Linked DNA regions of Cricetulus griseus. The protein of the gene in region 2 binds, or shares a complex with, the protein of the main gene of each other region. Links are inferred from orthologs where the notes say so. Each region holds a gene or a part of one and is shown on either strand. Other genes may lie near its edges.

The links. Proteins that work in one complex are often made in the same cells at the same time.
Region 1: the proteins of Itsn1 (region 2) and Fchsd2 are in contact, whole or in part, in a crystal structure (PDB 6GBU), measured with the Homo sapiens proteins. The link is inferred for Cricetulus griseus from reciprocal best matches to the Homo sapiens genes ITSN1 and FCHSD2. Residues at the interface, in NP_003015.2 of Homo sapiens: Pro1076, Ile1078, Gly1098, Leu1100, Leu1102, Gln1117, Ala1118, Arg1119, Gly1120, Lys1121, Lys1122, Arg1123, Leu1136, Ser1137, Pro1138; in NP_055639.2 of Homo sapiens: Tyr576, Gln581, Thr582, Asp584, Glu585, Gln602, Asp603, Asp604, Asp605, Gly606, Phe607, Val618, Pro620, Val622, Leu623.

The regions. Positions count from the first base shown.
Region 1 is NC_048596.1:98,440,443-98,444,469, forward strand, and holds the start of Fchsd2 (F-BAR and double SH3 domains protein 2), read right to left. Parts: upstream 2,828-4,027; 5' UTR 2,515-2,827; coding exon 2,494-2,514; intron 786-2,493; coding exon 688-785; intron 1-687. UniProt on the Homo sapiens protein: Adapter protein that plays a role in endocytosis via clathrin-coated pits. Contributes to the internalization of cell surface receptors, such as integrin ITGB1 and transferrin receptor.
Region 2 is NC_048597.1:5,925,720-5,929,282, forward strand, and holds part of Itsn1 (intersectin-1), read right to left. Parts: intron 1,950-3,563; coding exon 1,744-1,949; intron 1,166-1,743; coding exon 1,083-1,165; intron 1-1,082. UniProt on the Homo sapiens protein: Adapter protein that provides a link between the endocytic membrane traffic and the actin assembly machinery. Acts as a guanine nucleotide exchange factor (GEF) for CDC42, and thereby stimulates actin nucleation mediated by WASL and the ARP2/3 complex.

The DNA of each region.
Region 1 (4,027 bases), on a different chromosome or scaffold from region 2:
CTCATTTTTACAATATCCTCTTTTTTTCCCTTTTTTAAAAAAACTGTTTCCCTTTGTAGCCCAAGCTGGCCCTGAATTTGTACGCCTCCTACCTCAGCCTCCAGAGAGCTGGGATTACTGGGAGTCCAGATATGTACCACCATGTCCATCTCACTAGTCAGTCATAACATTCATTTTCACAATCTGAATGCAATGTCTTATCTATTAAATTCAGAATCCCCTGATTATGAATATAGGTAGCTTTAATAAAACATGACAAATAGATCTCACTGAATTGCACACTTAGACCAAATTATACTTGCCGTGTTTTAACAAACAATTAAATTGCCTGGGGTGACTGGTGCAACCCAGATACTAACCATTAACCATAAGTGTCAGCTTACAAGTCTGTGTAGAATTGCTAAAGCCAATAATAACTTACTACTTGGTGAAAAGATGTAAGAATTTTCAGTTGAGTGATTACAAACTGACAGACTTACTCTTAAAGCCCTGTTTTTCAGTAGTATGTGTACACTGAGGAAAAGTTTGCACTGTGTTAGTTCCAGTTCTAACTTCCAGCTGAGTCAAAATTCTGCAGCCTGAAAGCAGGAAATCCAAAAGGAAATTCCATCATCAGATCCTGGGGCTTGGCAACTCAAAAGTCCTCAGTGGCAGAGACAGTTCTCCAATTCTTTACTGTAATCTTACCTCATATCTTCAAGTAAATCACATTCTGCCTGGTGTTTGGCTTGAAGTTTTGTCATCTGCTCACCTTGAATGTTTTTCAGTTCTTGTGTAACCTTCACCTAAAACACAACATGTACTTATGAAGACTTTTACTACAATTTGAACAAGAAAAATTCCTTAAAGAAAACAGTATTTGTTAGACTGTATACTTCTAGTTTTCCTCTCCATAAAAACTAAAAAATTCATTATTTGCCACTTAGTTTTACTACTTAACTATGATTAATGAAAAAATTTGCCAGAATTTCTAAAACAGGGGCTGACTAAAAATTCAAAAATTACAGTTTAAAGAGTGTAAACTGTCAATTCTGTCTTCTCTTTCTTCCCAAAGACACAGACAGACATTAACCACCAGGAGCAGTGAGCACAGATGAAAGAAAGCATACAGTACCTAATACCTAGCAACTGAAATTTACACAATCATGAAATAATATGCATGAATAAATTACATAAAATATTCCATAATGGCTGCTAGAAAGAACACCGTCTCAGAATGATGCCCTCCACTCTGACAGCGCATCAAATCACAATCTTTTTCTCACAAAGGAGAACGTAAAAGTGACCTTCTAGAATATGCAGGGCTTTTAAACTAACCCAGTAAGCCAGGCCAGGTGGCAGCCCCACTTCAAACAACGAAAACCGCCGAAGCCAGCTGGCCGGAGACTCCCCGGCCAGACCGGACCCCGGGGGTTGCAAATGGTTTTCGAGTATGGTGGAATTCTGGCCACCAGGGCAAAGCGACATGGAGAGGTGGGGTACACGTGCAGGGGGAAGGGGGTGGGGGAATGAGTTAACTGGAGAAATCCAGATTAAGAAAGGGAAAGGAAAGGAAACAAACGTTGAGTTACTCATGTGGCAAATGTTTGCCCACGAGGGGAAGATATAACTGTCTCTACCCACTGCTCAGAGTAGATATCTAGTATCCATCTGAAAGATTTACAAAGACAAGGACACAGCCTTAGCCGCCAGGAAAGGTGGAGAAGGGCGGCGCAGCAGGGTAAGCTGCTGGCAAGCATCGGAGTACGGCCCGTCACTGCCACCCAGGCCATGCAAACCCCGGCCCTAGTGCTCAAGCCACGCATCGCCAGGTTCTGGCTTTCATACTGGAAGCCAGTTTCCCTGGCCCCTTAGCCGGAGGCGGGGCTGGGCGTCCGGGGGGGGGGGGGAGAGCAGGACCCGTCAATCCTTAATTTGCTTTCCCTTGGGGTGGGAGGGAGATGACCGTACCAACTTCTTTTCCGCAGCCCCGTGGGAAAAACAGGCCAAATTTTGGGGCTAGACTTAAAACAACGCCCCCCCCCCCCCGTGTCTCCGCAAATGTGCCAATGGGTGGGGTGTCGACAAGCAACTGGAGGACTCGAACCTGGCTCAGACTAAACAATCCCACACGCACAGGGCTCTGCAAATCTGCAGGGGCTCCCCCCGCCTCCCCTCTGTGCAGCCCCGAGAAAGCACTTTGCACTGGGCAACACTGCCATGCAGACAGACACACATATGCATGCCCGAAAAAACTCTAGCGAATGTCCGGGGCGGAGGGGCGGTAATCCCTAGTGCAGTGGACAAGCACTGGCCGCCCTCCGTCGGAAAGACACCTCACACACTCGACCCCCTGCCTGGAGCAGGCGGCAACTCAGTGACAAGCCAAGAGGCGAGAGCGGTCACGGCCCCTTGCGGGAAGGGGGAGGGGGCGCAGCGGTCGCCCCAGCCGCGTTCTTTGTACGCACCGCCACCCCCCAGATCTCCAAAGCCCCCCGCCAGCGGCGCCCTTACCTTCCTCGGCGGCGGCTGCATGATGCTGAAGGGACATTAATCCTCCGCCCACCCCCGACGGCGGCGTTTAAAGGACTGTGAGGGTGAGGAGGGCTGGAGAAAAGGGGGCGGCCCAGAGAGCCAGGGCGCGCGCGTGTGTGTGTGAAAGGAGAGCCTGAGGAGGAGGAGAACTCGCCCCGGAGACAGCGAGGCAGGAGGACCGCAGCAGCACCCGGGTCGCAGCAGAGTGTGGAGAGAGGGAGGAGGAGCGCCGGGAAGGCCTGGGGCCCGGGCGGCCCGGGGGGTGTGTGAGGGAAGGAGGCGGGGACGGCCAGGGGGCGGGGGCGCGAGCGGGGGCGCTGGGGGGCTCGCGGCTCGCGGGGCTGCTGAGGAGGAGCGGCCGCCGTCGCCGCGCTTGCCGCCTGCCGCGGCTCGGCTGCAGCTGGCTGACGCGGCGGCCCCCCACCCACTCGGGCAACCAGGCCCTCGCGCTGCCCGACGCCCCCGCCCGGCCGGGAAGGAGGAAGGCGGGGCTGCTCTCCCCGCTAGGGCTCCGCCAACCACTCAGGCCGCGGGAATTTCCGGCCCCGGCCCGCGCCACAGCGCCCCGCTCCGGCGGCAGAGGGAAGCGCTTCTGGCCACCGCCTGCTTCAGGGGGAGCGAGGCCGCGCCACGGGGCTCCGGATCTCGGTGTGAGAAGTGGGGGGAAACTTCATGGATTGATCGGCGGAGGAGAAGGACGGAAACGGGAGCGGGGCTCGAAAGATTCCCCCGGCTCTCTCTTAGAGTGGAACGTTCCAGACGCTTCCCACTCTCCCTCCCCCCACACCGAGAAGGCAGCTGGGGGCTTCCCGCGCGCCTTCCCGCCAGCCCGCCGGGGCGCGCGCCTCCTCCCGGGAGCGCGCACGTGGGCGGGAGAGGGTTCTGCGCCGACGCACGCGCACAGGACGCCCCCGCCTCCAGTCTGCGACTGCACTGTTTGTATGGGAATTTCTCAGGAGTAGAGGTTCAATGCTCTAAGTGGGATTATTTGCAAAGAGGAGGTAGTAGCGAGCAGAATTCCTCATGCTGCCTCCTCTCGGTCCCTTAGGTACCCTCCCTCCTAGTGCACTGGGGAAATTGAGCATGAATAAGTCCTTTTACAACTGGCCGCAGGTGCCAGGCCTATGCCATTGGAGGGGGACAGGTGGAAAGAACCTAAAATTTCCAGTCAAAGGCTGGCTCTGAATTACAGAGCATTTAGCCAGAGAACGTAGAGTCGACTGGAAAAGAACGAAAAACTCTTGAGTCCGGCACTCCCCTATCACAGATAGGAAGGCCAGTGTCCGCAGAGAAGTGGAGATGGTGCCAAGGTCACGTGGAATGACTAGACTCCTTGAGTCAGGAGGGTTATGTGGGTTATAAAGAAACAAGCAAGGGCTGAGGTTGGGGAGGTGGACTTTGCTCGGCGTTAGAGTATAGAGGTCCTGGGTTCATGACCAACACGAAAGAGGAAAGAAAGGAAAGGGAATAGGTGAAGAATAAGAACCATAGGGAGACAGCAAGGCCATGGAGG
Region 2 (3,563 bases):
TTTTTGCTGTTGTTCTGTTTTGGGGAAGAGGTAAAATTTGTTTTTAATTAGGCTGAAAGCATGTTATATCAAAAAAGAGGTTTTTGCCTTGTTCTAATAGTGCTAAAATAATTATTAAGGAAATGTGAATGTGTAAAGATTATCCTAGGAGAGTCCATATAATAATAAATATGTATATTCATATAAAAAATAGTAATAGTTACGTGGAAAAATTTGGAATTTTTTAAGTGGCGATAGGGTTTTACAACTATGCCTGCAAACTAAACAACCATTATTTTGAAAAGTCTCCTTAAGAATGGACTAGTGTTCCTGGGAGTTGGAACGAGCATTAAGCCTTCATCCGTGCAGCCTCTGCTGAAGCAATTATTCCGAGAACTCTGTTTTCCGCTGGCAAAGTTTCTAAGGAACACAACAATTTTACCACAGCACATGAAGCACACTCTGTCATCACAGATGTACTCCAGACACCTGTGAAAAGATTGCCACACACCTCTGCCGACATCTGTAACTGCAGAGCCTGCTCACTGCCACACAGATGCTTAACTCAGGTGGCCCCGGCCAGCGCTACCAGGTAATGACTGCGGTGAGCGTGGAGGAGACCAGTGAGGCCTCAACTGTGTAAAACTTTAAAATACCTCTTTTTACAGCCTGGCATATAATACCTAGGACTATGCCATATAACAAGGGTCAGAGGGGGGAAAAAAGCAATGAATTATTTGTAATAAGCCTATGTAACCTGACTTGGTCATTCACAGAGCACAGAGATCTTGTGGCTCAGCTGGGGTGTACCCAAGGCACTCGTGGTGTTCTGAGAGCTTCACTGGACTGTGCCATCAGTTTTAAAGCAATACAGTTATGGATGTAAACAAGACAAGAGGGCTACACGGGGAAGCAAGGCCGTCATTGACACATGCTCAGAACTTGACCCCTGGTGGACGCAGTGGGCTTCTCACTGCCAGACATCATTAGGCAGGACAGAAACATCCGGCCTATTTAAAAGTGAATCCAGTCATGGTCATTTACAGTCTGCACCAAGTAATGTGCTCAGCCTCCTAAAGAGAGCGGACACACCCCGTCCTCACCTTCTCCAGGAACGGCTGGCTTGGCTGCTGGGGAAGACACTCTCTTTAGGCTAGCAGGACTTTCGGTAGGGCCAGTATCGATGCTGTAAGAAGGGAAGAAAAGAGTATTTTAACTCTCACCTGAGAATACCAAATGACATTGCTTTTCTCTTTGAAAGCTACAGAAGACCAAAGCTGCAGCAGTCACTAGCAGCTGGGTACGGCCACAGTGAGAGTGCTGGAGGCATGCGTGACCACGCTCACCCGTCTGCTTTGCCCACTCACTACACAGGACACACAAGCTCAATGCAGTCTCTTCAGCACTGACTAGCAGATGTTGTGGGCTATTTCTGCTATCTTTGCATGGTGGAATAATCCAATAGTTCTATGCTACATGCAGACACTAATGAAGAAAGCCATTCATTCATTCTTCCAGTCGATTCCCCAAATGCCTTGTATTTGGTACTGTACTGGGTACTAAGCATCCAGAGTCACAATTCCCAACAGCTGCGGGATTCTTAGACAAGGCAACACAGTGCACAGGCTGCTCAGGAGAACGGGATCCCTTTCCACCCTTCACACACACACTTCATCCTGCAGCTCCCACCAGTGAATCTAACCAGCAGGGACAACAATTGCTAATACTGTTTCCGTCAAACAGAAGCAGATAACAATAAAGTACCTGGTAGCTTTCCTCACGGGCCCTGAAATGAGTTTCACGTAAGACTTGGGGAACCAACCCTTGTGACCTTGAACTTCTCCAAACCACCACATGTCTTGCTGTTCCAGAACGGTGATGACATCGTTTTTGTTAAAATTTAAGTGGTTGTCTTTCTTGGCTCTCCAAGGATACAGGGCTTGCGCTTGTAGCCCCTCCACTTTTTCACCCTGTGTGGGATGACATAAAGGACCCGTGATTACACTGCAGTTTTTTAATCAACCAAGACAGAGACACCGTCTCTGCCTGGCAGGAATGCTAGGCGCCTCGTGGCTTCTCTGCAATTGTTCATTTTAAATGTGGAGATCTAAAAACCCTGCCGGCCGCTCCCAGAGCCCCACCCAGCCTTACTTCTTCAGATGCACTGGCTGTGCATCTTTTATACTTTGATGTAACGGGGCAGACATTTCAGGATTGAATGGTGTTTCAGTTTAGGTGGACACATGAAAACAGGCCATGCACTGGACTGTGCTTGTTTTTTCCCATGATTGTGGACATCGTGGGGTTATAAGGATGAGGAAAACATCACTTCTGCTCCCTCCACATAGTTGGGAATTGGCATTTTATTAACATTAAAGTGCTATAAGAATATCCTCTAGTAATAGGAACTTAGTGTACCAGGAAGAGAGAAAAACAGCAAAATATATCACTTGGAGGAGTGAAACACACTACAGAAAAGTTCTCCTGCCTCACCGTGAGATCAGAGCGGCAAGAAGGACAAAGCCTGCCTTGGAGCACCAGGGACAGTTTCACAGGGGAAGAGGCATTTGAGCCCTGAAGGACGAGAAGGGTTTGAGAGCTAGCACTGCAGAAGGGCACTCCAGGCCAAAGGCAAAGGCCTCGAGAGGAGAGGAAGTGGCAGGGCAGGAGACAAGGCTGCAAAGGCAGGTGAGGCACTTATTATCTACTTAAAAATCATGGCGGCGACTTAAACAACTAAAACAAGCCCCACTTGGATTCTCCACATAAATGGATAAGGAGCAGAAGTTCATGTGCAAGGACAGCTGGTCTGGATCTGTCTGCGATTGACTGAGGTGATTTTTATTTCTGCGGTAAGATCTGACTGCATGAAACAGGAAACTTCTGTGAGTGTGTGTGTGACCTCTGACCCTTGCTCTGCATGGATTCTTACCTCCCTACACCTAAACATTCTGACTTTCTTTCATTTTAGCACCAAGATCACTGTGTTCTCCACCTGTCGCTTCCTACTTGCCCAGTGATCACAGTGCTTCTGCCTTGCCTACTCCTCTCAGCTATGTCAGGACTTCCAGGCCAGAGTGGAAGGGAAGCCATTTGCTCTGTGCCTTTACAAAAGTCTGGGACATCTCCCTTGACACTCCTTCCCTAAATGTTAGGTTCTGAACCAGCCCGAGGTCAGATGAGACTTCAGCACGGGGGCTGAATCCCAGATCTGCCACTTAATAATTAATTCTGCGACACTTGGGCAATGACGGATTTCTCCAAGCCTCAGTTTCTGAAGGCTGTCACAATGTTCAGAAAGACCTGCTATCGTCTTTGCTGTGACTGTGACGAGGCTGTAGTACCACAGTCCCTGGTCCTGAGCTGGGCAGTGCTGCGGCCAGTGGTGACTTTGGTTTCCAGGGAACCCCTGCTTTTCCCTGTCCTGGTCACTGCAGGCCGCTCAATGCACAGGCCCCTCACTTACGCTGACTGACGCGCTGCTCCACTCCTCACAAACCAGCAGAGTTCTCGTGGCTCAACTTCCTCCTTCCTCACAGCACGCTTGCACGCTGCATGACTTTCCCTTTCCTCAGTCACCAAGA